Lepisosteus oculatus: one gene and its partners. The main gene of each other region encodes a partner of the protein of the gene in region 3 in a complex. Links are inferred from orthologs where the notes say so. Each region holds a gene or a part of one and is shown on either strand. Other genes may lie near its edges. The genes, in order: gtf2h4, polr1c, polr2eb and gtf2e2.

Region 1 (7,356 bases), on a different chromosome or scaffold from region 3:
TTGCGCTTTGTGAGGCTGGGTTTGGTGTTGGGTTTTTATCGTGTTCAATTGGTTTTAATTTTTTTTTCTGCTCCTCCGCCCCAGGGGACGCGTCTCCGGAGGACCGACGGGGCCGGAGAGAAGACGCGGGCAGCGTGAGTTGGGTTTTTTATTTTTTTAAATGTATTTATTTTTTTTTTCATTTATGCTTCACACAATAACAACATTCGCAATACAAACAGGAGCACGTCTAACAAGTCAAGACGGAAAAAGACCGTCGGGGGTTGCACAGGACTACATCAATTCGAGCTATGAAAAAAAGATGAAACACCTTCAATAAAAATAACGTTCAGATGTGTGCACTTGGAAATTGTCTGCGAATACCCCCCTTACCTCCGGTTTAAAATGCTCCAACACAGGGGTCTTCCCGGACCACCTCATTTCATGCATATAATAACGTGCCGTTATAATACTTAAAAATTTATTACAAACGACGCAGGCAGCGTGAGTACTTACTTGAGTACTTGTCGTATGAGTACTTTACTAAAAGCGTTATTTCTCCTGTTATTGGGCGCGCTTGAAAGCCGGTCGTGTGACCCGGCCGGCGGTGGTGTTATTGCCGCCAGCGATGGCTGTCTTGCAATGTCGCGGTGCTGGTGAGTGTATGTCCTGTGATGGACTGGTGTCCTGTCCAGGGTGTGTGAGTGTGTGTGTGAGTCCTGTGATGGACTGGTGTCCTGTCCAGGGTGTGTGTGTGTGTGTCCTGTGATGGACTGGTGTCCTGTCCAGGGTGTGTGTGTGTGTGTCCTGTGATGGAGTGGTGTCCTGTCCAGGGTGTGTGTGTGTGTGTGTGTGTGTGTGTGTGTGTGTGTGTGTGTGTGTGTGTGTGTGTCCTGTGATGGACTGGTGTCCTGTCCAGGGTGTGTGTGTGTGTGTCCTGTGATGGACTGGTGTCCTGTCCAGGGTGTGTGTGTGTGTGTCCTGTGATGGACTGGTGTCCTGTCCAGGGTGTGTGAGTGTGTGTGTGTCCTGTGATGGACTGGTGTCCTGTCCAGGGTGTGTGAGTGTGTGTGTGTGCCCTGTGATGGACTGCTGTCCTGTCCAGGGTGTGTGAGTGTGTGTGTGTGTGTGTGTGTGTGTGTGTGTGTGTGTGTGTGTGTGTCCTGTGATGGACTGGTGTCCTGTCCAGGGTGTGTGAGTGTGTGTGTGTGCCCTGTGATGGACTGCTGTCCTGTCCAGGGTGTGTGTGTGCCCTGTGATGGACTGCTGTCCATCACTGTCCATGGACTGAGTCTGAGCGGCGGTAAGGACCGGGCGGTCTTTCTCACGCCCCGGGTGTGTGTGTGTGTCTCCTCTCCTCGCAGGGAGACGCCGGGGCGACGGACTACGCCGCCGTGGAGGTGCCGGTGCTGAGGGGGCGCCCGCGTCCCGGGCCAGCGCCGCCGCCCCCGGGTCTCTACTCGGAGATCTCCTGCCTGCCCGGAGAGGGGGGGCGGGTGTGACTCGGGTCGGGGGGGGAGGAGAGAGAGACTGTCCTGCAGGTCCGAGCCCCGGAGAGAGAGAGGTGGGGGCGAAACATTCTTCTACCTACAGCACTTGGGAGGAATAGAATCATTGTTAAAAGATCGTGAGGTTTTTTTTGTTTGTTTGTTTGTTTCAAGTACAACGAAATCTTTTTGAAACCGTTCATAGGAACGAGGACTGTGCAGGAGAGGCGGGGGCGGCTGGCTCTTTTCCAGTCTCCATCATCTCCCTCTTCCTCCGGGGGGACCGGACCGGACTGGACTGGACCGGACCGGACCGGCGCTTTAGAACCAAACAAAACACACAAAAAAGGGGGGTTTTGAGGTTCGGAAGAAGCGCTCGGGTGAAGAAGGAGACACGGAGGGGAGGGAGAGACTGTGGGGACAGAGGAGCTGGTGTCCGTGTCTCTGCAGGTTTAAAAACGTGCGTGTTTTTTTTGTCTTGCTGGGCCGTGACAGTAGGGGCCCGGGGTCAGTGGGGGTCAGCTCGCGCTGCCGTCTCGGGCGGCTGTGTGGGAGGAGCGCAGACCAGGCCCCTCGCCTCGCGCCGCTCCGGCTACCGCCCGCCCACGCGTGTGGTTTCACTGCGTGCGAGCACAAGACGCGCGTGTCGAGTTCACAGCTTTTAGGGAGTTGTTGTCGGTGTTTTTTTTTGTTGTTGTTTGTTTGTTTCCAGCAGCGTCTAGATCAATCGTATCGGTCTGTACAGACAGACGCGCCACATCCGGGGTAGCTGCGTGTCCGGCGCTATACACGGTGTGTCTGCCCCACGCCTGTTGGTAGCGGGGGCTGTGGGCTGCAGTTCCGCACCTCCCCCCCGCGCTAGATAATGAGCTCGTGTGGTGTGAGTCTGGGTGTCTGGGTGCTAGCAGCAACAGCAGCAGCACAGTGAGGCAGAGGTTCAACTGAGGCGCTGGGGTGTTGTCTGTGTGGAGTTTGCATGTTGTCCCCCCGACGCTATACTGGGGCAGCAAGACCCCACGCAGACCGCAGGGTGAGAGCGCCCCCTGCTGGCCCCACTCACACCTCTCCCAGCAGCAGCAGCCTCAGTTTTTCCCAGGAGTCTCCCCTCCAGGTACTGGCCGGGCTCACACACCTGCTGGGGCTCCAGTGGGGAGAGGGGGCTGCCCGGGGTGCGTTTCAAAATGCCTTATTTATGTAAAAAAAAAAACAATAACCGAAACGTTCACTTGGAGACCTGGAGCACGACACCTGGAGGCGAAAACTTCAATACTTCCGAATCCCGTGAAACGTTTGTACGTAATAAAATGTTTTTCAGTTTCGAAACAAAGACCCATTTGTGTCCAAATTTAAGCACGAGATGGAAGGATATCATCTTGTCCGTGATTTTCTTTCTCTTTGGGTGTGGTTTAACAGCCTCGGTAAACCTACAGTATTATTAATTAGCAGATAAGGACTTTCCGCGACACGGAAGACACGCCCCCTTAGTCTCGGGACTGGGCTCCTGATTGGCTCATGGAAGAGACCAGAGACGCTCCTGATTGGTTCACGGAGGAGACCACCGACGCTCCTGATTGGTTCACAGATAGGCGATGATGGACACTCCCGATTGGCTTACAGAGAACGCGGGAGAGGAGGAGACGGAGCCGTGACATTTTAAGGCATCTTTTCTACGAGTTGCAACCCTTCGGTCCCTTTAAAGAGGGCAGTTTCAGGGTCGAAACGAGGAGGCTCTCTAACGTGCGTTTCGGAAGAGACGGACCGCACCAGGGTTCAGAAATATCTAGTAAGCCGATCACTCCCGATAATGCCCTGTAGGAAACATTTACTGGTGTTTTTTTTTTAATTTAGGCTGTTCGTCACTTAGTTTAGAAACCCCGGCGCACTTTTCCACACCTCCTGGGCGAAACGAAAGGTTTCAGAAGCTGAGTTGTGGGGAAACGTATTTTCCTCCAAAAAATAGTCGGAAGTTTTCTAGGAATCGGTTACGCTCGTAAAGCGAAATGTTTCTTGGTTGGGTATCGAGTCGGAGGAGTTTCTCATAGCCCGAGGAGAGACGACTCATCGAGGAAAATCTCTCTTCGACTGTGAGTGAGACTGTGGTCGGACTTCCTGACGATCATGTCCTTACACCTGTTAAACCCCAAACGGATCGACGCAGTTTCAGTGCCTCAGGAAGGAGAGAAACCCGCAGACACCCTCCACTGAGCCCCTGAAAGGCGAGCAGAGATTCTCCGGATTGGTTCTCTGAAAGGTGACCAGAGGTGACCAGAGACACTGCTGATTGGTTCTCTGAAAGGTGACCAGAGACTCCTGATTGGTTCTCTGAAAGATGACCAGAGACACTCCTGATTGGTTCTCTGAAAGGTGACCAGAGACGCTCCTGATTGGTTCTCTGAAAGGTAAGCAGGGACACTGCTGATTGGTTCTTTGAAAAGGTGACCAGAGACTCCTGATTGGTTCTCTGAAAGATGACCAGAGACACTCCTGATTGGTTCTCTGAAAGGTGACCAGAGACGCTCCTGATTGGTTCTCTGAAAGGTAAGCAGGGACACTGCTGATTGGTTCTTTGAAAAGGTGACCAGAGACTCCTGATTGGTTCTCTGAAAGGTGACCAGAGACGCTCCTGATTGGTTCTCTGAAAGGTAAGCAGGGACACTGCTGATTGGTTCTTTGAAAAGGTGACCAGAGACACTCCTGATTGGTTCTCTGAAAGGTGACCAGAGACGCTGCTGATTGGTTCTCTGAAAGGTAAGCAGGGACACTGCTGATTGGTTCTTTGAAAAGGTGACCAGAGACTCCTGATTGGTTCTCTGAAAGGTGACCAGAGACACTCCTGATTGGTTCTCTGAAAGGTGACCAGAGACACTGCTGATTGGTTCTCTGAAAGGTAAGCAGGGGACGCTGCTGATTGGTTCTCTGAAAGGTGACCAGAGACACTGCTGATTGGTTCTCTGAAAGCTGACCAGAGACGCTGCTGATTGGTTCTCTGAAAGGTAAGCAGGGGACGCTGCTGATTGGTTCTCTGAAAGGTAAGCAGGGACACTGCTGATTGGTTCTTTGAAAAGGTGACCAGAGACTCCTGATTGGTTCTCTGAAAGGTGACCAGAGACACTACTGATTGGTTCTCTGAAAGGTGACCAGAGACACTACTGATTGGTTCTCTGAAAGGTGACCAGAGACACTGCTGATTGGTTCTCTGAAAGGTGACCAGAGACACTGCTGATTGGTTCTCTGAAAGGTGACCAGAGACGCTGCTGATTGGTTCTCTGAAAGATGACCAGAGACACTGCTGATTGGTTCTCTGAAAGATGACCAGAGACTCCTGATTGGTTCTCTGAAAGGTGACCAGAGACACTGCTGATTGGTTCTCTGAAAGGTAAGCAGGGGACGCTGCTGATTGGTTCTCTGAAAGGTAAGCAGGGGACGCTGCTGATTGGTTCTCTGAAAGGTGACCAGAGACACTGCTGATTGGTTCTCTGAAAGCTGACCAGAGACGCTGCTGATTGGTTCTCTGAAAGGTAAGCAGGGACACTGCTGATTGGTTCTTTGAAAAGGTGACCAGAGACTCCTGATTGGTTCTCTGAAAGCTGACCAGAGACACTGCTGATTGGTTCTCTGAAAGGTAAGCAGGGGACGCTCCTGATTGGTTCTCTGAAAGGTGACCAGAGACACTGCTGATTGGTTCTCTGAAAGGTAAGCAGGGGACACTGCTGATTGGTTCTCTGAAAGGTGACCACAGACAGTTTTGTTTTTGGGGCTATAAAAAAATAGGGGGGGGGGGGAAACAGACGTTTCTGATTGGAGCAGCGCCCGTCTCGGTGGGTCGACTGTCCCTCCTGAGCGCGGCCCGGCCGGGCAGGTAGATGTTGTTTTGTTTTCGCCGCCCACGCCTGCCCTGTTGTCTCACCCTCTCGGTGCCCCGCGGGGGCGTGAGAGCAGTCTGCGTGGAGGCGCGCTGTGGCTCTGTCACCCGGCCACACAGATTTCCATCGGAGGTCCCCCCCCCCGCGAGACGAGACGGTTACTGGCTGGTACCCGCGGTGTGGGTTTGGGCGCGTGGAAACAGCTCTCGCCGCTGTGTTGTTTCGACGCTTTTCGACGTAGATTCCTGCCTGCAGCTGCGGTACTGAGACAAGAACTATGCTGCCCTGGGTGTCTGTGTCTGCGTGTGTGTGTGTTCACGGTTTCCCCGATGCCCTGCGCGCCCAAGCCACGCGGGTTCCCAAACGGGATCTTTCCCAGCTCCGTAGAGACCCCGGGTCGTTTGCACAAAAACACACGTTGCAGTGGAAAAAAAAATACAGATCAAGGCAAAGACGATCAGCTTTTTTGTTTTTGCTGATGCGTCTGAGTGTGTAGGTGGGTACAAATGTAAGGGCCTGACACTGTCCAGCACTGGCGGGCTGTAGGAACTGAGTCTCTTCAGTCTGAAGGGAGTGTCCCGCACTGACAGGCTGCAGGAACTGAGTCTCTTTAGTCTAAAGGGAGTGTCCCCCACTGACAGGCTGAGGGAACTGAGTCTCTTCAGTCTGAAGGGAGCGTCCCGGACTGAGAGGCTGGAGGGACTGAGTCTCTTCAGTCTGAAGGGAGTGTCCCACACTGACAGGCTGCAGGAACTGAGTCTCTTCAGTCTGAAGGGAGTGTCCCGCACTGACAGGCTGGAGGAACTGAGTCTCTTTAGTCTGTAGGGAGTGTCCCACACTGACAGGCTGCAGGAACTGAGTCTCTTTAGTCTAAAGGGAGTGTCCCCCACTGACAGGCTGAGGGAACTGAGTCTCTTCAGTCTGAAGGGAGCGTCCCAGACTGAGAGGCTGGAGGGACTGAGTCTCTTCAGTCTGAAGGGAGTGTCCCACACTGACAGGCTGCAGGAACTGAGTCTCTTCAGTCTGTAGGGAGTGTCCCGCACTGACAGGCTGGAGGAACTGAGTCTCTTTAGTCTGTAGGGAGTGTCCCACACTGATAGGCCGGAGGAACTGAGTCTCTTTAGTCTGAAGGGAGCGTCCCGCACTGACAGGCTGGAGGGACTGAGTCTCTTTAGTCTGAAGGGAGCGTCCCACACTGACAGGCTGGAGGGACTGAGTCTCTTTAGTCTGAAGGGAGCGTCCCACACTGACAGGCTGAGGGAACTGAGTTTGTTTAGTCTGAAGGGAGTGTCCCACACTGACAGGCTGAGGGAACTGAGTCTCTTCAGTCTGAAGGGAGGGTCCCGCACTGACAGGCTGGAGGAACTGAGTCTCTTTAGTCTGAAGGGAGCGTCCCGCACTGAGAGGCTGGAGGGACTGAGTCTCTTTAGTCTGAAGGGAGTGTCCCGCACTGACAGGCTGCAGGAACTGAGTCTCTTTAGTCTGAAGGGAGCGTCCCGCACTGACAGGCCGGAGGAACTGAGTCTCTTTAGTCTGAAGGGAGTGTCCCACAGTGACGTGGTGAAGGAACTGAGTCTCTTTAGTCTGGAGGGAGTGCCCCACACTGACACGGTGAAGGAATCGCCTGTACACACTGTGTACCCTTTGTGTGCAGAAGAGCTTGTTCCCCACCCCCCACCACCCTCGGTGTCCTCGATGGCATAACACACCGACGGGGCGCTCTGAAAATTGCGGGGCCTTCGATTTGTCTAACGTCCCCGGTTTCTCCTCCTCTTTCTAAACCTCCCCCATGCCTTTACAATAACATTTACACTTGCTTAGTAACGGCGCCGCCACACCGCCTGCCTAGGGGGCGCCGGCGGGCGGTGGGAGGACTCGCGGGGGCGCCGCTCTTTCCTCGGCCGCCGAGCTCGTTGGTTGTTTTGGAGGGAGGCGGGGGCTGCGCTGACGTCACCGCTCCCTCGCCTGTCTGCGTGAGGCTCACAGAGGCGGGCGAGTCTTATAGTTTTATTTCACGGACGGGTGGG
Region 2 (8,193 bases), on a different chromosome or scaffold from region 3:
CTGCTGGAGTTCATACTCCACACTGAAACGACACTGAAAAAGATCCTCTGGGCTGCCATGAAACTATGTGCCTCTTTGATTTTTAGCATTTTTGCAATTCTGCAAGGTTTGGAAAGCTTACAATGACAGTTCCAGATGTCTTCATTCCATGCAGCAAAATCGCAACCAAAGTGAACACCAGCATCAAGGGCCCATACAGCTCCCCAGCAATTTTCTAGTTAGGAGAAAGATAAAGAAATCAAACCCTGCAGTTACAAATGTGCATTACTCTGAAAATATAGTACAGAACATGCAAAAAATGAACTCTCTGCTCTCATTGCCTTCTTTTTACCAGCAGGCCGACAGAACGACTGAGACGGTTGGTTATGAAGAGCCTTCCCCAGCTCTTGATAACACTGCAGCCTAAAGTCTCACTGCGAGATTAATAACCTGTCACCTCAGGTCCCGCCTGGAGATTAGAACTGTAACCAGCAGCCTTAACCTCACCACAAGGTTCTATTAATCACAGTCTCACTGAGAGACGGTGCGAACTCGGGAGTCTTACTGCATGACTGATGATGCCAGACGGCACACAACACACTAGACGAGTCTCCCCTTCAGACCCAGGCAGACAGCAGACACCCCGATGCCCTGCGGGGTTGCTGCTGAACCCAGCTCCCTTGCGGGGTGTTTTACTCAGTCAGGAGTCTCCCCGTAAGGCTGTTTCTCACTGTCCCCCTGACGGTGAGGGTCTAACTCAAACCACTGTAGACTCACTGAACCCTCATATAGGGAAAACCTGCTCCCAGCAGGTGCTGCCAATACCCCAATAAGGTTATGTGCGGACCTATTAGACATTTTCTGAGTATCTGGAGTGTCTTGACTTATCCTAATTCTGAAACTCCAGCTACTCGGTTACAACACATTAGCTCCTAGAATCCCATTTCCATATCCTTAATTGTCATTATTATTTCCAGAAACTATAAAGAAACAGCCATACTCAGTTTAGTCATGGTATCAGTTTCTACACTGAAAATGGACAGAAATCGGGGGCTAACTGCTACTTTGAATGCAAAAAAGAAAAATCCAAAACAGTTTATAATGGCCACAAATCTAGTTCAATCTTTGTCTCTTTATTTTTTGCCATTATTTACTGTACGCCATCCCGTTTTTGAGCAGAAAATGTAAAGAAACAACTGCGACACTTACGTTTCTTAATATTAGAGAACATTACTCTCTGTTAAAAAGTACAAAGTTTCGGGGAATCATAGCAGTGCCACTTACCTGTGGAAAGTTAATCATTCTTACAGGAATCAATGATTCTATCAACCTGGAAGACAGTAATGGAGTGAATAAGAAAACTAATTTCAAATACTTCAATGACAACGTTCTGCCAACAGAATTACCCTAGAGTGAAAAACAACTATTTGTCTTAGTAAAGATTACATTTACAGTAGAGTCTGGACATTCGCTAGGGTTTGGTACAGAAAACTGTCATGAATAGCCAAATTCGCTTATAACCAAATTCACTCCTATACTATTGCATAATATACTACAACATTTTGTATGTGGGGTTAAAAGACATAACAAATCCTTCCTTATAGGATATTTAAAGTACTAATGCATTGGTTTGAAGTTAATTAGAATAATATCGATCAACAAAAACAAACAACAACAGAGATCATAAACGTACATTAATCGGACAAAATAAACAACATGAATCCGGGCTGTGCTTGAGAAGAGCAGTAAACCTGTCAGTGAGCTTGTGTCTCCAGCCTGTCATTCCCCACACTGCTGACACAGACCCTGGAGTGTTTGTTACTGTAGAGAAACAGGACCACGCTGAGGCGCGGGTGCTGGGTAGGGGGTACGAGGGCAGGGGGCAGGGGGAGGCTCACGCACTAGCTAGATGCATCTCACAATCCTGGTCTGTTGTGCAGCTGGTTTGAGAGTTGTGCTTAACCTTCAGCTCAGTTTCATCCCGCTCTGCTCTTCTTCCATCCAAGACTTTGTCAGCCAGACCGAATCACGGAACAAGCAAATTCGTCAATGTTAAATTCGCAGAGGTCGCAACCCTACTGTACGTGTTTTTGTAGAGCCAGATCAGAAGGGAGAACTCCACTGCATTTCTAACACAGACAGAACGCTGTATCCTCACATTCCTTACCTGTTCCTGACTTGAACGGGCTCAACGTCAAAGTAGGGTCTGAGGATGTCGATGTTGGCATACAGGTTAAAAGCCTTCGAGGCCTGCCTCTTCCCTGCCTGCCACACCTAGGCGGAAAGGAAAACAACACATAAGCCTCTTCACGCCTCCAGCCCCTCACCTGGCTGCTCGGAGCCAAAGGTTCCTTCTTTCCCATTCTTTCAGTTCCTGTACAAATGTGGGAGCAATCCAAACAAATTCTAAAGGATTGCAATGTCAAAAGTAAACGAAAGAAATTAAGCTCCTTTTTAATTGGCCCAGTTTTCTGCGGGCGGGTAGATTAAATTCTACAGATCGCAATCAAAGCAGCTACAGAACAGAGGACTCATCAGCGGTCTGAACACAGGCGACAGACGAGAGGAGGCCATTTAGTCCGTCTAGCCATACTGTTAGTCGTGAATGAATCCAATGATCTTCATGATCTTGAAGCCCCAAAGCGCTGGCTTCAAGCACATGTCTGGGCAGCTTGTTCCACACTCCCCCCAACTCTTTGTGTAAAGAACTGGCCCCTGCTCTCGCTTTTAAGGGCGCTTTCATCTAACACCAAGCCCCGACAGCACTTGGAAACGTCTGTGCGAGGGGACATGTGGAAATGAATAAAGACGCGTGGCGCTGTGCTGCACGACGGCTGGTCTGCGCGTCAGGGCCCAGGATCTTGGCTCGGCCCCGGAGCCCCGTACTCGGCGGGCCCCACCCACTGACCTCGTCAGCCACCTGCCGGCCCAGCTGCCCCCGGAAGCCCTTCATGCCCAGGAACTCTCCGTCCTCGCCCTCCTCCGTGGCGGCCGCCTCCTCCGTCACCTCCTCCTCCTCCTTCATGCGCTGGTGCATCTCGCCCATGTCCTCGAAGCTGGAGCCCGACGTGTCGTCCATGTTCTCCATGTCGATCACGGCCGAGCCCCCGCCCTGCTGGCGCACCACGCACGGGGCAGGCTGGTCAACCCGGTCCCCGCAGATGACCGGGTCGGCCACGACAAAAACAGACATTTACAGCACCACAGAACTTTTACACCCATCACATAAAACACTGTTGTGAGGCAGCTCACTCTCAGCTCCTCGGGCTGTTCTGATTCTGCCAGGCGTGGGGATTCTGGGATTAGATTTGTTATTTTGAGAAGAATGTCCAACTAATCCCAGAGTATTTCTCTCAGTGCAGCAGAAAGTGCATCTTTGTCTCGGCTTCTTCCCACTGGCAGTGAAAGCACCACCTGTCCTCTCTGGACAGCCAGCGCTGCCTGTGTCCACTTTCTAGGGCCAGGCTGTGGTCACTGAGCCTGTCCTCTCTGGACAGCCAGGTCCGCCTGTATCCACTTTCTAGGGCCAGGCTGTGGTCACTGAGCCTGTCCTCTCTGGACAGCCAGGTCCGCCTGTATCCACTTTCTATGTCCAGGCTGTGGCCACTGAGCCTGTCCTCTCTGGACAGCCAGGTCTGCCTGTATCCACTTTCTATGTCCAGGCTGTGGCCTCTGAGCCTGTCCTCTCTGGACAGCCAGGTCTGCCTGTATCCACTTTCTATGTCCAGGCTGTGGCCACTGAGTCTGTACATGTGTACTCCTACAGCAATCCAATTTGTGTTGTGTTTCTCAATATCTTACCACATTACTGGGCGGAGCTACCCAGGAGCTACAGCAGACGTGCTGGAGCTGAAAATTGCAGGACATTTGGCATTTTATTGAGCTACCAGCACTTTCACCTAAAACTGGACTGTTCTCCAAATATCAAGCCATTCATGAAACTGTTCACAAAAGGCATCGATTAAAGCGAATACAAAAACTGAGTCCGTTTCAAAACAACCGAAACAACACCTATTATCCACAAGGCAGCAAATTCTAAACACACAACAATCTCAAGACACTGGTGAAAACGTCTCCACCTTGTGAAAACAAAAGGATAGGAAGACTTACAGGAATGTAGAAAACGTCAGCAAAAAACAACAACAACAACAACAACAACAACAACAACAACAAAAGCTGATGAAAGGGTAGTGGTGACTGGAATTTATTTTTAATCGTTTTGTTACGATATTCGGCGACGCTTTTTGTTCATCGCTGGTACAGACGATTGTTTTTTTTGTCTTAACTAACGCTGGCTGCGCTAGTAGAAAGAAGGAGCGGTGTTTTAACTAGAAGGGACGGTATTATCTCCGAAGTGTCAGGAGAGAGAGAGAGTCGCTCTTGTTTACCTGAATCAGGTTGTCATCGAAGCTGCCCCAAGCCTCGCTGTTGGTGCTCTTATTTCCTCCCGGCGCGGACATCTTCGGACACGCAGGACTGTCACTCTTGCGGGGACGGAGCCCTTATATGCTAAGACTGAATATGCTCGCACAAAGGCAGGAGAAAAGTCGCTCGGCGAGACCCCCAGCTCGGCGCCGCTGCTCGCTCTCGGCCACCAGGAAGCACACCCAGGCCTGGAGACGTGGAGCTCGCGGGACCTCTCGCGAGACGCGAACGTGACTTCAGCTCTTGTTTCGTGTGTGTGTGTTTGCACAGGAACAAGTGAAGGTTTATTCCCGGGCTGGAAAGAGAAGAAAAGAAACGCAACGTTTCGGATGTGGGGCCTTCTTCTCCTTGACGCCGGAAGAAGGCTCCACAGCCGAAACGTTGTGTTTCTTTTCTTCTCTTTACAGCATGGGATTGTTCCTTTGCGACCTACTTGAACTATCTTTTTTTTTTTTTGTATTGGTGCTTGCAAGAGGTCCGGCAGTTTCCCCTGAAATATAGGCAAAATCTGCTTCTTTTTTCCGCTTTATTTCATATAAATGAACAGCGCTGAGCTATGCATCAGAACGAAAAGTGTCAGGCGCGCTATCTACAGTTTTTAGCTCCAAATCAAGAGCAATAGGCATGTTCTTACACAAAGAGTTGTGGGAGTGTGGACACCAGCTACCCAGCCACGCTGTCGAAGCCCTTATCCTCCCTTCTTTAAAGAAACATCTAGACGAGCTCCAGTAGAGTTCGATTAGCTACTATTAACAAAAAATAGCTAGACAGATTAAACAGCCGCCTTTTATATGCCTTAATTATCTTAATTATTGCAGGCGATAGTGCATGACCGCCGTGGAACGCACGCGTCCACTAACAACATCTTCCAGCAGCAGCCTTAGTTTTTCCCGGGAGCTCTCCCATCCAGGTACTGACCAGGCTCACAGCTAAGACCTCCTGCTTAGTTTCAGTGGGTTCGTTGCCAGGTGTGAGTTGCAGGGTTCCTGGCATGAGCTCGACCATGAAGGAAATAAAACATACTAGGGTACTGTGAGTTACAATAATATAATATATAATTGCAATACTGATTCTTTTTTTAAGAATTTAGTGTCAGTTAAATAAAAGTAAAGTTTATCATTAAATAACGGAACTGCATTGTCAGGAGTTCTCAACTTGACAGTTATATTTTTTATTGCAAAGCACAGCTCGATGAGCGGAAATGACGTTGAAGAACAGGAAAATCAACAGTGTGCAGAAATGGCGGCGCCCAGGAGCAACGTGGAAGAGATTCGCGATCGTGTGATTCTGGGCGAGTTTGGGGTCCGAAATGTGAGTGCTTGTTTCTAGGTGGTGGAGAGATGCTGGTTCCTCATAGGCTATGAGATAGTACAAATAAAAACGTATTATTATTGTCGTAAGAAAGTTTGTTGTGTCATGTGTACAATTCTATGCCGACGACAGTTAAGTAACCGCTTTTCCAGATACGCACACTGTTTATGAGGCAGACTCGTTTACAATTTCTCTCTTACAATGTAAAGCGTGTTGTAAAATACATAACTTGTTTTGGGATAAGGGGTAATTAAATGTCTTTTCTTCAAAGGTTCATACGACAGACTTCCCTGGTAATTATCCCGGGTACGATGACACCTGGAACCGGAAAAAATTTGAAGAGGTAAAGATAAAACTCGGCTGTAATCTTTGCTGTCAGTAGCTGTTGCTCATGGAAGAGGTTCCCTGCGCTTTTGTTTATCATGTGTTTCAAGCAACGCGAGTATTTTTATTTTACAGAAGTTTAGAATCGACGTGATTCGAATGGATGAAAATACGCTGGAGTTCGACATGGTGGGCATTGACGCTGCTATCGCTAATGCATTCCGTCGAATCTTACTAGCAGAGGTAAATATCGCCCGAAAATAACAGGCTCTCAATTAAAAAAAAATAAAATAAAATGTGTACTATTATAATTTTTCCTATTCTACGTATATCTTTTTAGCTGGTAAATTCTACTTAAGTCTATTTTCTTTTTGAATTGTGTGGACCAATGACTGTTGAATATTCCTTAGCTTGTATGATGTACTTACAGGAAAATAAAAAGTAATATTAAAATAAAACCTTAAGGTGACCGTAGCTGCAAATTTAAATGCACACTTCATGGTGGCTCAAGATAGTTTCGTGAAAACCTGTTTCAGGCTGTGGGTGTTGTTGCAGAGTGCTTATTTTCAGTTATCTGAAAAAACCTGACCCATTGCTTGGAATAGCCCAGGCTTAATTCTGTAATTAAGACTGACACCTGAAGAAGGCTCCACGGCCGAAACGTTGTGTTCTCTTTCTTCTTTTTTTCAGCATGGAATAAACCTATTACTTAATTCTGTAATGCTGTCTTTGCTAAGGTTCCCACGATGGCTATAGAGAAAGTGTTTGTGTACAACAACACATCCATTGTCCAGGATGAGATTCTGGCACATCGACTGGGACTGATCCCCATCAAAGCAGACCCTCGTCTTTTTGAGTACCGGAATGCAGGTGAGCAGAATCATCGTTGGCCTCTGTAGTGGAAGTTACAGCCGTCTCTCAGTACAAGCTGCATTTTATCCTGAGAGAAATGATGTGGAAACTGTTTTCATATGTTTGCACAGGGGATGAAGAAGGCACAGATATTGACACAATTCAACTGCAACTAAAGATCAAGTGCACCAGAAATCCAAGAGCTAGCAAAGATTCCTCTGATCCCAGTGAACTCTACATTAACCACATGGGTATGTTTTGTTATTTACATCTGGACTCTTGAGTCAAGAGCATGGAGTAGCTGGAAAGAAGAGATAACTGCAACATGCCCTTAACTGAGGAAGGAAGCATTGGTTAGCAGCTCCTAATGTGCTATAACTAACAAAAGCAGTTTACTGTACATGCAGTCTTTCCAATTGGAGACTGTTAAAAATATCAAGATTGATTAGTGGTTCACAGCCTTGTCATTTTTTCAGCTGAAATATTGATTCCTTTAGCTAATAGATCCTTTGAATTGAACTTGCTTAATTTGTTTTATGCTAACCCTGCACTCAGTTTTTTGTTTTGAAAATACCCTCCAGCAGAAGTGTTATCATCATGAAATCTAACAACCCTTATTTCAGTCTAAACCGCTCTTAAAAGGTGACTAATGATGTCCAGATACACTGTACCATACACCCTCATCAGTCCTTGTTCTGCAGAAATCTAAGTTCTTAGGTCCCAGGCACTCGAATGAGGAGAGTCCAGAAATTGATATAGGAATGTTGCTAATTACAGTAGCCATACAGTTCTCTCAGAGCTGAAAACATTCTTAAGAAAAAGGCCTACCAAGCAAGCAGAGATCTATTGGCTTAAGTCATTAAGACCTCCATTAGAATGGAAAGACTAAGAGACCAGATTCTCTCTGAAATATGGACTTAGAACTCCTGACATGGATAACGTATTATGCAGAACGTGTGACTCGTTAAGAAGTGTTTCCTTCTCTATTTTTCCAGGGGCCTTAAGAACATATAAGTTTAGAATCATCACAGTTGACCCCAGACCATGCAAAAGAAGCAGCTTTAAATCAACATCGCCATTTCATACATGTAAGGAGATTTGTGTGTTTGAGTTCTGTTTCTCTGCTTTGTCCCAGTTTACTCGAGGGACATTAAGTGGACTCCTCTCGGGAACCAGGCAGACCTGTTTGCGGAGGCGGGTATCAGCCCTGTTCATGGAGACATCCTGATTGCACAGCTGCGGCCCGGCCAGGAGCTGGACATCGTCATGCATTGTGTGAAGGGTGTAGGTAAGGACACCGGC
Region 3 (8,087 bases):
CTGGATTTACAGCTACTAACGCAGCAGTAAATTCGATTAGTCCAAGGAGCCACAGCTGACTCAAAGAAATCCCCAGCTCAACCCGTTTTATTCTGGACCCTGCCCATCCATACAGCTCCGCATTAGTCACCACTTCAAACCGGATTCGCCCAGCTGATAGAGCTGATCAATGTCCTGCACTGTGTGTGGACTAAACCCATGTAACTGCAGAGGATCCAAGCAGTTCAGCGAGCAAAACATAAGAAAAGATACTGTTATCTTCCTGTGCCCATGACAGCCTCAAGATAAACACATTACAAGTCATAAAGCTTGCTGGAACCGAGGACAAAGGTTACAATACATATTTAGGAAGATGTCCCAACACTAAATAACACTGGACAGCGCTGACTTGACAAGACCACACCCACAAACGCACACTGGAGAGCAAGACGTCTCCACGTCTCACATTCGCGTTCTGAGAAAATGGGGGGAAAAAAATCCAATCATGTGAGCACTGAGGAAGCAGACAGGCTCTTGGGGATATTTCGGAATTGGACTAAAGAGTCAAAATGCTTCCTCGCTTCTTCCTGAAAGCCTGTTTCAGCCACAGCTGGCCTCCTGCAGTTGGGCCGGCTTCTCTCGAGAAGTCTACCTATCCAGAACCTGCCTGTGAAATACTCTCGTGCTCACAGTCATGTCCTGTTACCTTAGAACATCCCGTCTCCCTTCTGAGCAGCACAGATGCCCATTCCAAGCCGATCCATCATTATCGATATTGAAACTCCATTGTGTAAGAGATGCTGTGGCACATTCAGCTGTACCACATGGCGTGGCAGAATAAGAAAAGGAAGGGCAGCACAGTGGCGCAGGTGTCAGCAGTGCTGTGTCACACTGCTGGGGCCCTGGGTTCAATTCCTGGGAGTTTGCCGTCTGCGTGGAGTTTGCACGTTCTCCGTGTGTTGAAGTGGGTTCCCTCTGGGGGCTCCGATCTCTCGCCACATTTCACACGGAGTGGGAGGTCAACTGACTGGGCCCTGGTGTGAGTGTGTGCGTGTCGGGGTGTGTCCTGCGATGGGCTGGCGTCCTGTCTAGGGGGGTACCTGGACCTCCTGAATTGGATGAAGTGGTTAGAAAAAGTGGTGGATGAATAAGAAAGGTTACAAAAAAAGAGAAGGGCATTCAGCAGATCCAGTTCATCTGGTAATCAGCAGGTAATCGATCCGAGGATCTCTCCCAACTGTTTCCTGAAATTAGCAGGGCATCAGCTTCAACAACATGGCCGGGTAGCATGTCCAACACTCCTACAACCCTTTCTCCCATTTTTAGTTTTCAATGCTCTTCCATCATGATGCATTTCCTTGGCTTGTAGCCGCACTGGTGTCATAACGAAGAGCAAATGTTTAGCATTCTGCATCCTGGGTAGTTTTGGGGAAGGATATGGATTGCTCCTTGTTATAAAAAGTATTTTCATAGGATCTCATGCTAGACGTACTGGGGCAAAGGTGTAGTTAAGACTCTGGATTCCTGACAAGAGGATTGCAGGTTCAAATCCAACATAAAGGCACAGCTGGCATAGACTTGAGAGAGTCTCAACCTGAATTCCTCTAGTTCATTTTTAATATTAAATCTAAACCAGCTGCAATGCAGTTTATTTGCACATCCTTTTGTTTTTTTTAAAAAAAGTCATCTCGGTTGTTTGCAAGCGCCACAAACACTAAGCTTTAAAACTGCAGAGAATAAAAATGTTTTTTCAGTCTGTCCCTGAAACTTGAGGTTTCTTCCACTCTGTGACACTTCTCAGTTGCCCAAGACCCACACACACACAGTTCTGCAATTACACCAAGCCTACTGCTGCTATTAATACTGAAGGAAAGTTAAGCAAACATGCAATAAGCTTGCAACACAGCTGAAGACTGAAAAATTCCAAGATCGGAGGCTGCCTGCGTGTAACTGAGAAAATTACATCTTCGTGACCCGAGAAAACCAGAGCCTCGCAAACCCCTTTTAAACGTTTCTGGGGTAACGGACGCTTAAACCACTGTCAGATTTCACCGAGTCGTCCACACAAACACACGCTTGAACAAGGGGAACTCGCACCAGCAGGACACGAAAACCAGTTTAGTATCAACCGCAGGGCTAAAACGGTTTCTACCGCCTAACCAAGACACGAGTTCTTACACACTTCATAAGCGTGCCCAGAAAGACAAGGAAGCCAATTATCTTTAAACACATATGTGTGTGTGTGTAACTGGCAACTGCAGGGCAACCTCTGATGTCCGTCTTTAAACGAAAATTTAATTTAATAGGCGTTTCAAAACAGCTTGGCCTTCTTTTGAGACATTTATTCAGTTACTAGAGGGGGTGGGGGTGGGAGTAATAGAACCGTAAATGTAGAGGGGGTTAATTGATGGCAGACTCCAAACACTGACTTTTGCCCCACGCACACGCACGCTCTCGGCCTGCAGAGAACAGCCGTGGTCAAGCGCGCGACTGAGCTGACGTCAGGGCGAGGGCGCGCGCGCGCTGGCGGAATAAATAAATCAGTTTTCTGAGAGCTATTGACTCTATGCAAATGAAGCGCTTCTCACAATGCTCTCCTGTTCCACTCGTTTGTCAGGGCTAGGAGCAAAGCCCACAGCTCTGATCATGCCATTTGTTTTGCAGCAGTTGGATTAGAATCGAAGAGTCTCTGGGCAGCAAAGCTATTCTGCCTCTCGAGAGCCTGATATTTGAGGCAGGTCTTCATTTGTGCGATTGGTAAGGGCTTGTAAATGAACCAAAGGGCGCACTGAGAAGCAGTAGAAGGAGAAATCACGGGTCACTGTATGCACGCAAGATAGAATGAGTTACAGATCGAATAATCTGTAACTCATTCTGTTACTTGATAGTTAAATCGCCCAAAACCGCCTTTCTAATGTAATATAATCGTACTTGTCGCGTTTATTGTCGTTAAATGACGTTTTTAAATCATGGATTGAGACAGAAAGATCATCACAGTCCTAATTAAACTTGATTCATTGCTACAATGACGTATGTTAATAATACAGGTGCGATTTTAAGCAATAAAAAGATTTTTAAGGACAAGGCTCTTCCCGCATTGTTGTTAAGTTTTTTTGTTTGTTTTTGCTGCCTTGCGGTTTCTAAATCGCACGCAGCATTCATGGTGCATCACCATCCTGCGGATTACACACAACCTACCCAAACAGACTCCCAAGATCTTTACAATCATGAGGCGAGCGACAGAGGTTTCGGCAGAAAACACCAATGAAGGCCCGCTCCACCGTCTGCCTGAAAAGCAGCACAGCAGTAAAGCCCAGTTCTCACAATACTGTCGCCACCTGCTCTCGACACCGCAGTTTCCGTCATGTGCAGAATGACGGGGAACCAATAATAAAGGATATTTAGTGCACTGACGTGATTCATGTCTTATAGTATTAGGCGTGTGTATTGCCAGAATTATAATAATTAATTAATAATTGTTTACACTTATATAACGCTTTTCAGGACACTCCTCCAAGGCGCTTTATAGGTAATGGGGACACCCCCTCCACCACCGCCGCCAATGTGCAGCATCCACCTGGAAGAATTAGGCTAGTGCGCACCAATATCATTACTTAATAGTTTAACAGTCACGAGTATTGCAAACCCTACAGTGACAGAAAATGACCGTACGAAGCTTCACTGATCTTCTTCAAAAAAGTACTGCTTACTGACTCAGCGTATCTAAAAATATCGACTTCGAAAGCAACGAAGTGTAGGACCAAGCAAAGAGACAGATAATCACACAGGCAATCAGATTACAAACAGAACGCGAATGCCTTACCATAGCTCGTACAATCGCTCTGCTCGCCACCAGTCCGAAACACAGAGACCGTGTAACTATCTGCATCGCCCCACGGAGACTTAACTCTCCCGGCCAGGGCCCGCCCCGGAAAGAAGACGTTGGGGTCTTGGGCTATTTCCGGTTCAAGCAACTGCCTCACTGGGGTGGCCATTTTGGACCTAGTTCCTCTCCAAAGGGACGCGCAGAAACTAGCGCTGTCCCCGAGCCAAAATGGCAGCAGTTCAAAGCGCTTTCCAGGTAATGGGGACTCCCCTCCACCACCACCAATATGCAGCCCCACCTGGATGATGCGACGGCAGCCATAGTGCGCCAGAACACTCACCACACATCAGCTATCAGTGGGGAGAAGAGCAGAGTAATGAAGCCAATTCATAGAGGGGGATTATTAGGAGGCCATGATTGGTAAAGGCCGATGGGAAATTTGGCCAGTACGCCGGGGTTACACCCCTACTCTTTTGGAGAAACACCCTGGGATTTTTAATGACCACAGAGAGTCAGGACCTCGATTTTACGTCTCATCCGAAGGACGGCGCCTGTTTACAGTATAATAATAATAATAATAATAATAATAATTGCTTACACTTATATAGCGCTTTTCTGGACACTCCACTCAAAGCGCTTTAAAGGTAATAGGGTCTCCCCTCCACCACCACCGTCACTATACTGGGGCATTAGGACCCACATGAGCCGCAGGGTGAGCGCCCCCTGCTGGCCCCACTAACACCCTAACACCATGTTGAACGATTATTTTAGGTCTTTATTGGACCTTAAAAAAATGGAGAACTCAGTAGTACGTGGAAATAATAGCTAATAGCACCTTTTGGCTCAAATGGGCTTCTAAAATAGGTCATAAGCGATTTACTGATCTAATTGTCAAAAACGTAGTGCTATTATTTAAGAATAATACGATTTAAATATATTCTCAGATAAGTACGAAAGCTGATGGTGAAAATTACAGGCAAATGCTTGGATGCCAGCAAGGGGTCCATTGTGGCGACGGAGCGACGGAAGTCAGCTTGTTTGCGCGAAAGGAGGAAGCGTGTTGGAGGAGAGCGATTGAAGTTTTTTTCTGTTTCTTCTGAAAACAACGTACAATGGATGATGAGGAGGAGACATACAGATTATGGAAAATCAGGAAAACTATCATGCAGGTAAGAATGGAGCGAGTCATTTATTCTTTCCGTAAAAAAAAAAGAAGATAATTTGGGTATGCGCCGGTGTTCGCGTGTAGCTCTTCCGTGGGACACGTCTAGCCCCTTTCACGATCTCGGAATTGTACCATAAAAAAAAAGTTTTTTCAAAGATTAAAAAAAAAAGGTATTTCTCAGCCCGTGGTGACGGCTGCTGTGTGGATCGCCTTCTAGCTGTGTCATGACCGGGGTTACCTGGTGACCCAGGACGAGCTGGATCAGACCCTGGAGGAGTTCAAGAGCCAGTTCGGGGACAAGCCCAGCGAAGGCCGCCCCCGCCGGACGGACCTCACCGTGCTGGTGGCTCACAACGATGACCCCACTGACCAGATGTTCGTCTTTTTCCCAGGTGGGAGTTCGGAGTGCTTCACACCCACATGTACACATAGTCGCGCCACGTACGTCTAAACCAACGTTTGCCAAGCAGATCATCAGGCAACAGTCAAATATTCTGACATGCAAGTGTTGGCGACATAGCCAACGTTTAGAAACTTCGTGTTCGATCTTAATCACTCTGGGAGCCGTCAGGGTCCATGCCTTGCTGACTTCTCGTTCAGCCCTCTGTGTGCCTGGGAGATGGAACAAACTGTGCAGCACATCCTAGGGGATCCACACTCAGTGGAGAACTCCTCAGCACAGCTGCACCAGAAGCTATCGCTGGCCCCAGGGACTTTGCATGTGTTCAGTAAACTGTCCACAGGACTTTAACTGTAATTGAACCCTCAGAATCTCTGGCATGTATAAGGGGGGGTCTCAGATCTCGTCCAGTGTTAACTTCAGAAGAGCCTCTTTTTACTTGGAGAATGACCAGGCACATGTGCTCTTTCCACAGAGGAGCCCAAAGTTGGCATCAAGACTATTAAGATGTACTGTCAGCGCATGCAGGAGGAGAACATCACACGAGCAATCATCGTGGTGCAAATGGGCATGACACCCTCTGCCAAACAGGTACAACCCCCCCCTTAAAAACCCCCCAGTATCGCTCAAACCTCGCAGTTAGCCATGTTCACTTTCACCTGATCCTCCGTTAAACCAACATAACATGTTTAACCTGCTGCAACATTCGCACTGTGAGGTGAGGACATAAGATCCTTTCAAGTCCACATGCAGTTATATATTTAGATCGATAGAGGTTGATATTTTTTAGCAGAATAAGGGATGGAAGTTAATTTAAATTAGCAAGACTTCTCATTCAGTGAACACGCAGAGTTAAGCGGGAGATGAAAACAGCGAACATGAATAAAGTGCAGTAACGTTGTAGAAACTGTAAGCCCAAGGTGACACAAGCTTTGTTTCCAATGAAGGATGACATCGGTGATCTGAGACTTGTACCCATCGTGTGAGTAAAAGAAGCACACAGTGCCCACTAGAGGGGGCAGGGGGGAAGGTTTTGACGGTGGTGTGGTGTTTCAGCTGCATTGTTTCCTGTCCTTCTCCAGTCGCTGGTAGACATGGCCCCCAAGTACATCCTGGAGCAGTTTCTCCAGCAGGAGCTGCTCATCAACATCACAGAACACGAGGTGAGGAGAGCTTCAGCGCAGGCATGGCGAGCTGGCCCCAGAGCTGCGGCTGCCCCCACTGCCAACAGCACTGTGGAACTCTGGAACAAGCTACCCAGCCTTATTGTTGAAGCTGTCGCCATGGTTTCTTTCACAAAACAGCTGGACGAGATCCGTCAGTCATTTAGCTACTAAAAACTGTACAGATTAGACCTTGCAGAATGGCCTCCTCTTATTTGTAACTGGAAGAGACTTTGATCTCTATTATTTTTAAGTTAATAACTGCAGATATCACATTTGTCTCTTGACGGGGATAAATGTAGTTATGAACTGGCCGATGCTTTTAGCCAAAGCTGCTTTTGTGCCAATTTGTACAGGAGGGTGTTTTACAAGAGCGGTCTGAGTGAAGTATCTTGTGCAAGTCGTATCTTGCACAACTGCAATGCCCCACGTCCTGTGACCCCTAATGTGTTCTTCTAAATATTTCTTTTCGTTTCTGCTGTTTATTATATGTATGCCGTTGTACAGCACTCTGGGTTGCTTGAAAAGAACTCCTGAGTAAAATTGCATGAGGTTCAATAAGAGACGTGTATTATTTACAGTTGTGTACCTTTTGGATTATCAAGTGCAGGGAAAAAAAATCATACGTGTTTATATAACGGAACAAAGGAAGTGTAAGAAAACGGGGTTCGGAGCTGTTTGATTTTGCTAGTGCTGTGTTTTCTTGTTCTGCTGTGCTGTCAGGACTATGAGCTGGTTTCCCTTCTGCTTGTCTTGCAGCTGGTTCCAGAGCACATAGTGATGACTAAAGAAGAGGTGACGGAGCTGCTGGCTCGATAGTATCCTTCTCGCGCGGTTTGACCCACATGTCTTTTTCACACTCGGCTCACCGTGTGCTGTTCCGAGAAAAGCAGAGAACGTTGTCTTCTGGATGTTCTGGGAGTTGTGCCTGACAATATCGCAAAACATACAAATCGCCACAGAAGTCTGTCTCTTAGACTCTGCTAATTAGCACTGCTTTGCCTCAATACTTAACCCCTGTTCTCTGTACACTGTACTGGTGTCCTGTGACCTTTAGAGTGGACGTCCAGGTCATCCTGCTCAGGTATAAGGCGACACTGAACACTCCTACTGTGTGTTCTGCTGCCTCGGACCTTTGCTCTTAATACTAGGCTCTACACGATGGGCAGCAGAGCCTCTCGTGCAGCAGCTCTATGTGAAGCTCACTGCGCAGGTCCATTAGAGACTCTGCAAGGCCAGTGTTCTATGCAACTTGCTCTCATGGAGCGCAAGCTGGGGTCCGCGAAAAGACAAATTCCTAATACAAGAAATGGTATATGGCCCCAATAAAGTGATCCTATCTTATTAACAGTGGTGCAGCAGTTAGCATTGCTGCCTTGCCGCACTGGAGCCCTGGGTTAAATTCTGGACCTCTGCTGCTGTCTGTGTGGAGTTTGCGTGTTCTCCCCCATGTTCAAATGGGTTTCCTTCCAGCATCCAAAAATGTAAACTGGCTTCTAGAAAAACTGGCCGTGGCGTGAGTGTGTGTGTCTGTGTCTGTGTGTGGCCCTGTGA
Region 4 (7,719 bases), on a different chromosome or scaffold from region 3:
AGATTGTCACCAAATGCAAAAACAAAGTTAAAAGCAACCATTTCAAGCCATTTCACTCTTTAAAGGCAGTATTTTAAAACAATACTCACATTTAACATCCATACAAACTGTCATATAACGGCATGTTGATAATATGTTCGTGTAGATGATGGGCACAGAAATACATAAAGAAACTAGACCCCCTAAAGTGTGTGAATGAAGGTCTCCTGAATGGCTTATCTACTGTTACAAGGAGTATTTTAAAAGAGATGAAGACGCATCCCAGGACTTCCAGAACAAGACTGATCTAACCTAAGAAGTGGTAAGACTTCCCCAGTACACTGCCAGACTGCTAGTGTAGACTCTACCAGCTGAGAAGGCTGGAGTAACATGGGGAAGGAAACAAGACTACCAGACAACTGTGACACCTAGTGGCATGTTCATTTCAGAAGTGAGGAAGCCATAAGGCTTCCATAGTGAATGTCTTACAGCATGTCTCAGAGAAGGTGCCATTGCACCTTTCAGTCCAGCATAGGGCTTAAGTGATTTACAGAATAAAATAAAAACTAAGGTTATAAAAGTTAAAATAGAGGTCAAAAGGTAGAAAGATTTAAAAGCTTTTTCCAAGTACCCTGGAAAAGGAAACACAAACTGCTGGATCAATCCTGAGGACCCTCTTAACAAAGAAGAAAAACCTCTGCAAAGAAATATTAACATTTTTCCAAATTAAGATTTCAAATGTTCATTTTAACTATGAAGCTGAAATGTCAATTTAATCACTGTTAATGATTCTGTAGAACAAATGTTAATCCCACAGTATAATTACTGCAATTCTCTAATGATTCTTTGAATGACATAACACTACACGTAAGAAAGTTTACAAACGAGAAAACAAATTGCAGGTTTTGAGCCAAGCACACTACTGATTCAAAAATGAACAGTGGTGTTAAAGCAAGCAACAGCAGGCCACTCCTTCTCTGCAGCAAGCAAACTTATCACTGATTATCTCACAGCCCCAAATTACAAAGCTCTGCAACTGCCCTCATCCTAACTAATAATACCATCAGCACTAAATGTATATTTAATTTGTGAGATCTGACATTCAGAACCATTGAACTCACACCTTTAAGATTACGGGGCAGTACGTGTGATTGTACTTTCAACTGAACGGACTGAAAAAAATTATTTAACACCATGCATGATCTCATAAGCTGTGGTTATTGTTTTTTGGAAAGAAATATGATATTGTTGGTACATTAAGACTGTAGCAAGCTCATTATATTAAATACGTGCCCTACTGCACTAGTTGTGTCAAAAGCAGGAGACCCCTTGAGCAATATCCATAACATTTTTTTTTCTGCAAACAGCAGATCTCTGTAAAATGGGGCTCAACTCATGTTTTCCCAAAAAGGGTGACAGTGGCAGAACTGCAGCTCTGTTGGTGACATACTCCCACTGCGGCTGCCTGCCACCATGTCCACCATCCCTCGCCGAAAACAGCTACTGATAGTGAGAATCACAGCAACCGCTGTGATCATTAATGCGTACTGACCTGTCCCATGTTTGGATCCAGAGGAGCCCGCCTGGTCGTATTTGGCCTTCTTTTTCTTGGAGGATGAGGAGTCTGAAAAGGCTGGCCGCTTCTCCACTGCCGGCGTGGAAAGAGCTCGCTTTTTAAAGAGCTCCGTCTCGCGGAGCAGAGCCGGATCCATCCTGCCAGCACACAGAGTGAAGAAGAAAATACAGCCAGGTTCACCTCGGCCACACATAGGCAACACACACCACAAGCTACAACACCCACACAACTGCAGCAAATTAGTCTAGGCTATTATTCGAATTTACCAGCTTTACAATAAATCCAGGCCTTGTCCTGTCCAAATTCCCCCCCCCGGCCTTTACCAATCATGCCCTCCTGCTAATCCTCATCTATGAACTGACTTCATCACTCATTTCTCCTCCCCACTGATAGCTGGTGTGTGTTGAGTGTACTGGTGCACTATGGCTGCTGTCGCATCATCCAGGTGGGGCTGCACACTGGTGGTGGTGGAGGGGATCCCCAATACCTGTGAAGCTCTTTGAGTGGAGTGTCCAGAAAAGCACTATATAAGTGTAAGGAATCATTATTATACCCATTTCAGAACTTGAATGTGCTGATGACATGATATACATCTCACTGTTGATTGCTTCAAGCTCTTTATAGTCCTATATAGCATTTTTTGTCAGTGTAGAAAAGTTAGCGATCCTTCCCTTAGCAATTGAACTTTTTGACAGTATGAAACAAGAGCTAGTTTAGCTCATCCTAAACAGGCTAAAAAGGGGACATGAAAATAAAACAATTTCCTGCTACACGTTCACATGCCAACAAGTCTTATGAAACATTATGAAGCAATCCAGGCCATACAGATTAACCACATGATTACAAGAAACTATAATCGTCCGTGTAAATGTTATTCTTTTAACAAGCTCTTGTTAGAGAGGTATTTATGAAGTATGTATTGATATTTTAATTCCTACAGTGTATTTCTACCAAATGTGCGAAAGGATTATGTTGTATATCTGAACTGTCGTGGAATCAATTTTATACGTTGTTCTTACTTCTCTTCTTTGTTAGATTCCAATGATTGCTTTATCCCTAACGATCAAAACATTTTATAACTAATAACCAAAACAGACAGGTTTTTTTAAAAATATATCAGTTTTGGTCACTGGGAAATACATTGGTCTCCAAAATTCAGTCAGTAGTAATTATTTTATTCTACGCTCCAGTAATGTAGTTTCTCGTCACATTCGGAACATGACATGTTACCACCTTTTGTTACCAAAGCATATCGCCAAATAAACACCGATAGCATAAACCTAAGTCAATCTAACATTTCCGAATTCTTCACAACAATGTATATAACACTACCACCGGATCTGTTATTGTCACACAACAAACCCAGCACACCAGCAACTATTATTTACACGCTCACATCTACCAAAGCGTTACATAATGTGTTGTCGACTATGATCACATACAAAATCAAAATAAGAATTTTCCAGTACCTTGTCTCCAGCTGCTTCTACAGGGAGGGAAAATATAGTTTTATAAATAGTTTAAATTTTCAGCAAACGATATTCAGAAAAATTTAGTTTGCTCCATTATACACTCGACAGACACTGGCTGCCTGGAGGCGAGAGTGCGCTGCTTCCGAGTATCACCGTTCACACTCGACTCTCGACTAGCAGCGTCTGTTACGCACACAGGACTCACTGGATGACGTAATGTTGATCTCCGAGTCCAAGGAGAGGAAATATGGCCGCCCGGGCTGGCTTTTGTTTATGTGTGTATACGCGGACAACAGGACACTTTTTTTTGCATGTATAAATACAAAGATACATTGGGCGTGATATGAAAAATAAAATTGACTGGTTATTGGTCAAGGTTATTGTATTCCCAAAGGTTTGGAAACAGATTAATCCCATAATAACACAAGTCAGCATACTGTATAAATCTCAGAGATCTGGAAGGTCTGCCTTGAGTTTTTAACCTTCTTGAATATGTCACTATTAAAAAATATTTTTTTCAAGATTGTTTTACAAGGGCGTTATATGTTGTTATTATTTTCGAAATAACTGAACAATGATAATATGCGGTTTGAGATTTTTAATAGACGAGCATATTCACTCATTAACTACTAAATATTCTCACAAGGTTTACAATGAATATCATTTCAAAATAACCCAGACGTTATAACAGTGTTATATATACTTGTATTACAAAACACAGTTGTAGACTTTATCCCGTTAAATCTAATCATGACAGACTGTTTGACCCTCTGCCATCTGGAAAACGGTACCGGAGCATTCGGGGCCGGACTACCAGACTCAGAGACCGTTTTTATCTCCGCACCATCAAACAATTAAACTCCCAGCCTCTGTCACCTACGATCTGAACCCTCACAGTACCTTCTCACTTTATCAAAACTCAAACACACGTCAAGAAGCTCACTCCCCATAATTTTCTATTTCAGTAAATTTGATTTTGAGTAGATTAGAGCAATAACTTTCCTAGATTTAATGTATTTACAAATTACTTTTAAGGAATTACATAACCTAAAGGCGACTTCAAAGAAGACTTTTTTAAGAGACGTATTATTAAGTAACGCACGCAGCTGTACACCTTAATAAAGGACTGATTGCTTAATCCACCAAAAACAATACAGACAGGAGCCCTTATTCAAAACATCTTACAGTGATATACAACAAATACAATGCATATACAGCATTAAGTCCAACTAATTCGTGACCACACGCATGTCAAGACGCTTTTTCACATTGATAAAGTAACCAGTGTCTATCTAAATCGACTGGTATAGATATTTGCTGTCGGTTGATCTGTATGGTGTTGCAGTTCTATCGGATACATTCATTTTACAAACGCTGTGATTTATTCCTTTTACCGGACTCAGTCAAAACTGGCGAGGGTTTATCGCTGTCGCTGTTTCAGTCCACAGTTCAGACTAATTCAAAGTACACGTTTTAAAAATAATTCACATTTGCCACACTATGGGATATAAGTGATTATTAAACCAACGGTTCACTACGTGATATTTTCCATTCCTCTGGTTGGATAAACCAGGCTACTGTCATCGTGCAAGTGGGTTTTAGTTTTTACATAAAGCCAAACGCGGGCTAAAATATAATTTGTTTGAAATAGCATATACGGGAATATCAGGAAAGTCATCCTAATCACTGCCTAAACTTTGTATCTGATCGTACTTTGTCCCTCTTCTCTCCCCCTAGTATGGTGTCAAAAAATAACAAAAAGGAGGGGTCGGAAGTGTCAGTCATGAAAACCGAAAGACATATTAAAAAAAGAAAACTGAAGGGTGGTAGAGCTAGTGTGGGAGAAGACTCAAAATCTGTAAAAATGGCCAGTTCGACTGATGGTAAGCAAAGGACGGTGATTTTGTCTGCAATCACTGCGCTCCTCGCCCTCTGCGTGGCTCCTCTCGCCGCTCAACTCGATGGTGAGTAATTTATTCCGTAGCTAAGATTAACAGGACATGTAAAACTCACATCAAGACCTCCCGAAAGTGCATTTACCGAACTTTAGAAAATTGGAGGGGAGACACATAACAGCAGAGCTCATTCAGCTGAAATAGGCTGTGATTTAACAGTTATTCGAAGAATGTGTAATGCACAACCGCATGTTTACCTACATTAAGTTGAAAGAAAATCTGTTTTTTTTTTTCATAGTTGCAGTGAGCTTTTGTCTACCGTAGTGGACCTGGAAAATAAGAAATGAGTCTGAAAAGACGCGTATTTCAGAAATAAAAGTTTGAACACTGAGTTGTTCAGATTTAAAGCTGACGTCTTTATTCAAACGGTAGATCTCCTGGTCTGTCCCTGAATATTGTCTGTCTCCATTGCAGATTAGAACTGACCTTAAAACAAAACAAAAATGGTCAAATGAAAAAAGTAAACTGATATAAACTGTATCCCTTGTATCACATGGAATATTGATTATATGATTTGAGATGCATTTACTTCAGCAACCTCGTTTTTCTCATTATATTTTAAGCAGACGAAAGGGTTGAAAAGAATAATTCCCCTTGGGAATTACCGTATATTTGCACATTTTTAGGCATAAGTATTAATTGTTTTTACGTCTCGGGTGACGTTCAGAAAGTTTGTACAGTCAGGTTCTGTATCTTACGTTAGTTATTTGACAGATCTTTAAAAGTACCACTACCGCTTGCCAAGATGAACAATTTTTAAATTAACTACACAGAGCATTGTTAAAATTAAACACAGGCCTGTTGTTGTCAAATATAGTTGTATCATATTTATATTTTATTTTTTCTTATTGGAAATGGAGTGTTTCAGTACATTATGTTTACATTATGTATTGTAGTACATTATGTATGTAAAAGCTGATTTAATTCATGCATTTATCTAAACTTTTTTTATAATTTATGTATACAGTTTAAACCATAGGTAGACAGGTCTAGTCACCAAAATACACTTGAGTCCTATAGGTTTTTATTCCAGATTTTTATATTTTCTAACTGCTTCCATTTCAGAGTCGGGGGGTGCCAGATTCTATTTCGCAGTTACAGACATCCCAACTTTGGAAAAATTGATTTCAGGGAGAGGGGTCATCCCTGCTGTGAAAAATTGCGGTTTGGGGTGGGGGGACGTGTATATATGCCATACACTATCAATACTATAACTCACTAGTCCATTTGGGTTGTACAGAGATGCGGCTTCTTTAGCAAATTTGAGAAAAAAATTGGGAGTGGGCTGGGGGGAGGCGATTTCCGGGAAATTATGGATCATTTGGGGGAGTCAGGGAAGAGATGCTGATTTCCAGGAGACTCCCGGAACGTCTTGGGATGTCTGCAAGTAGTGGGCACAAGTTGGGGTACACCGTGGACGGCACACTAGCCCATCTCAGGGCACAGACACACACAGACTTGCACACAGTCACATAAGAGTGAGTGTTTGTAGAATCCAGTTAACCTACCAGTTTGACTTTGGGCTGTGGACAGAGACCAGAGCACCTGGAGGAAACCCATGTGAAATGAGCGACAATATACAAACTCCACACAGCACCCAAGCTCCAGAATTGAACCCAGGGCCAAAAATATTGTAAAAACTAAAGTGCAATAGTGAGACCTGGAAACTATGTAAACATGTTTTGAACAATGAGAACAGACGACACATATTTACGCAAAGGTTATGGCTGGATGTGATCCTTGGCAACCAAGCAAGCTCAATGGCTTGAATGGTCTTATCTTGTTTGTTACCTTTCTTACATACTTATCATGGGTTTTTTTTAAATGTTACTCAATTGCTACTTCTAGAAGTGTCCGTTAGAACTTACAGGACTCCGAACCTCTAGGAATGGAATTGACTGACTCAGGTTTATGACATGTAATGAATGTGTTATTTAAAGTCTGTCGTTTAACAAAACAAGCCTTTATCATTTTCTGCTGCAATCCTGTCACCAATGAGGGTTCAGCTATGAGGGATTTTTGCTGAATTACTGGTATAAAATTGTGTGTTTCAGCAATGGGAAGGCCTTATTTTTCAAATACAATATTACATTTTAATTTCTTAAAATATATCTAAAGATTGTTCTTCTTTATGTCTCCAAATCGAAGGAACAGATAGTTAAAAGATTGATCCTTTTTTTTTGTAAATTAGAACTCGTCCACATCCGCTGTCAGGTCAGATTCTGGACTACTATAGCTTCTCCGCTGCCACATTTTCTCACACAAGGCTTCTTAAGACATTGAACTAATCAGGGACATTGCCTTGCTTGCAGAGCTACATTAAGGCATGTGACAACTGTGCGTGTAACTAGGCTGGAACCCCAGAAGCAGTTTGTTACAGAAGTGCCGTTGTGATGCAGAGACAAAGGGGGGAGAAGGCAGGCCAGCAGCAACACAAAACCTAACAATGCGAAACCTGTGATCGGAACTAGCGTTGGTAGAGCTTGAAGATTTTGGCAAGATTGAGAATTCTTTCAGTGTTGTCTGGAAATCGAATTAAGCTCTGGTACACTGTTTGTGTACTCAAGCTTGAATAATTTAAGTTTAATTATCCGTTCTGTATGAATGTTCATAAACATAATTTTATTTTAAACCAGTATATTTATGTTATGCAGGGAGTATGTATGTGGGAAAAACAGAATTCTCTCTCTCTTCAGGGAACCATATGCTTTAACATGGGTAAAAAAACATATTTTAT

What was found.
Region 1: polr2eb (region 3) and gtf2h4 share a complex: the UniProt entries of both Homo sapiens proteins name them as parts of the TBP-based Pol II pre-initiation complex. The link is inferred for Lepisosteus oculatus from reciprocal best matches to the Homo sapiens genes POLR2E and GTF2H4.
Region 2: polr2eb (region 3) and polr1c share a complex: the UniProt entries of both Homo sapiens proteins name them as parts of the pol I pre-initiation complex. The link is inferred for Lepisosteus oculatus from reciprocal best matches to the Homo sapiens genes POLR2E and POLR1C.
Region 4: polr2eb (region 3) and gtf2e2 share a complex: the UniProt entries of both Homo sapiens proteins name them as parts of the TBP-based Pol II pre-initiation complex. The link is inferred for Lepisosteus oculatus from reciprocal best matches to the Homo sapiens genes POLR2E and GTF2E2.

Annotation. Positions count from the first base shown.
Region 1 is NC_090709.1:40,992,650-41,000,005, reverse strand, and holds the start of gtf2h4 (general transcription factor IIH subunit 4), read left to right. Parts: upstream 1-4,066; 5' UTR 4,067-4,108; intron 4,109-5,183; exon of another isoform or gene 5,184-5,195; intron 5,196-7,215; exon of another isoform or gene 7,216-7,356. Other genes in the region: uncharacterized protein, read left to right, coding at 85-134, 1,344-1,481. UniProt on the Homo sapiens protein: Component of the general transcription and DNA repair factor IIH (TFIIH) core complex, which is involved in general and transcription-coupled nucleotide excision repair (NER) of damaged DNA and, when complexed to CAK, in RNA transcription by RNA polymerase II.
Region 2 is NC_090712.1:17,542,746-17,550,938, reverse strand, and holds the start of polr1c (DNA-directed RNA polymerases I and III subunit RPAC1), read left to right. Parts: upstream 1-4,779; 5' UTR 4,780-5,314; intron 5,315-5,586; 5' UTR 5,587-5,595; coding exon 5,596-5,715; intron 5,716-5,986; coding exon 5,987-6,058; intron 6,059-6,174; coding exon 6,175-6,282; intron 6,283-6,776; coding exon 6,777-6,909; intron 6,910-7,022; coding exon 7,023-7,142; intron 7,143-8,026; coding exon 8,027-8,179; intron 8,180-8,193. Other genes in the region: protein YIPF3, read right to left, coding at 122-214, 1,264-1,309, 2,147-2,253, 2,888-3,094, 4,368-4,439. UniProt on the Homo sapiens protein: DNA-dependent RNA polymerase catalyzes the transcription of DNA into RNA using the four ribonucleoside triphosphates as substrates.
Region 3 is NC_090724.1:6,669,016-6,677,102, reverse strand, and holds the start of polr2eb (DNA-directed RNA polymerases I, II, and III subunit RPABC1), read left to right. Parts: upstream 1-4,796; 5' UTR 4,797-4,917; coding exon 4,918-4,974; intron 4,975-5,187; coding exon 5,188-5,362; intron 5,363-5,845; coding exon 5,846-5,961; intron 5,962-6,452; coding exon 6,453-6,533; intron 6,534-7,292; coding exon 7,293-7,351; intron 7,352-8,087. UniProt on the Homo sapiens protein: DNA-dependent RNA polymerase catalyzes the transcription of DNA into RNA using the four ribonucleoside triphosphates as substrates.
Region 4 is NC_090696.1:69,245,709-69,253,427, reverse strand, and holds the start of gtf2e2 (transcription initiation factor IIE subunit beta), read right to left. Parts: upstream 3,198-7,719; 5' UTR 3,025-3,197; intron 1,693-3,024; 5' UTR 1,692-1,692; coding exon 1,532-1,691; intron 1-1,531. Other genes in the region: hgsnat (heparan-alpha-glucosaminide N-acetyltransferase), read left to right, coding at 4,766-4,991. UniProt on the Homo sapiens protein: Recruits TFIIH to the initiation complex and stimulates the RNA polymerase II C-terminal domain kinase and DNA-dependent ATPase activities of TFIIH. Both TFIIH and TFIIE are required for promoter clearance by RNA polymerase.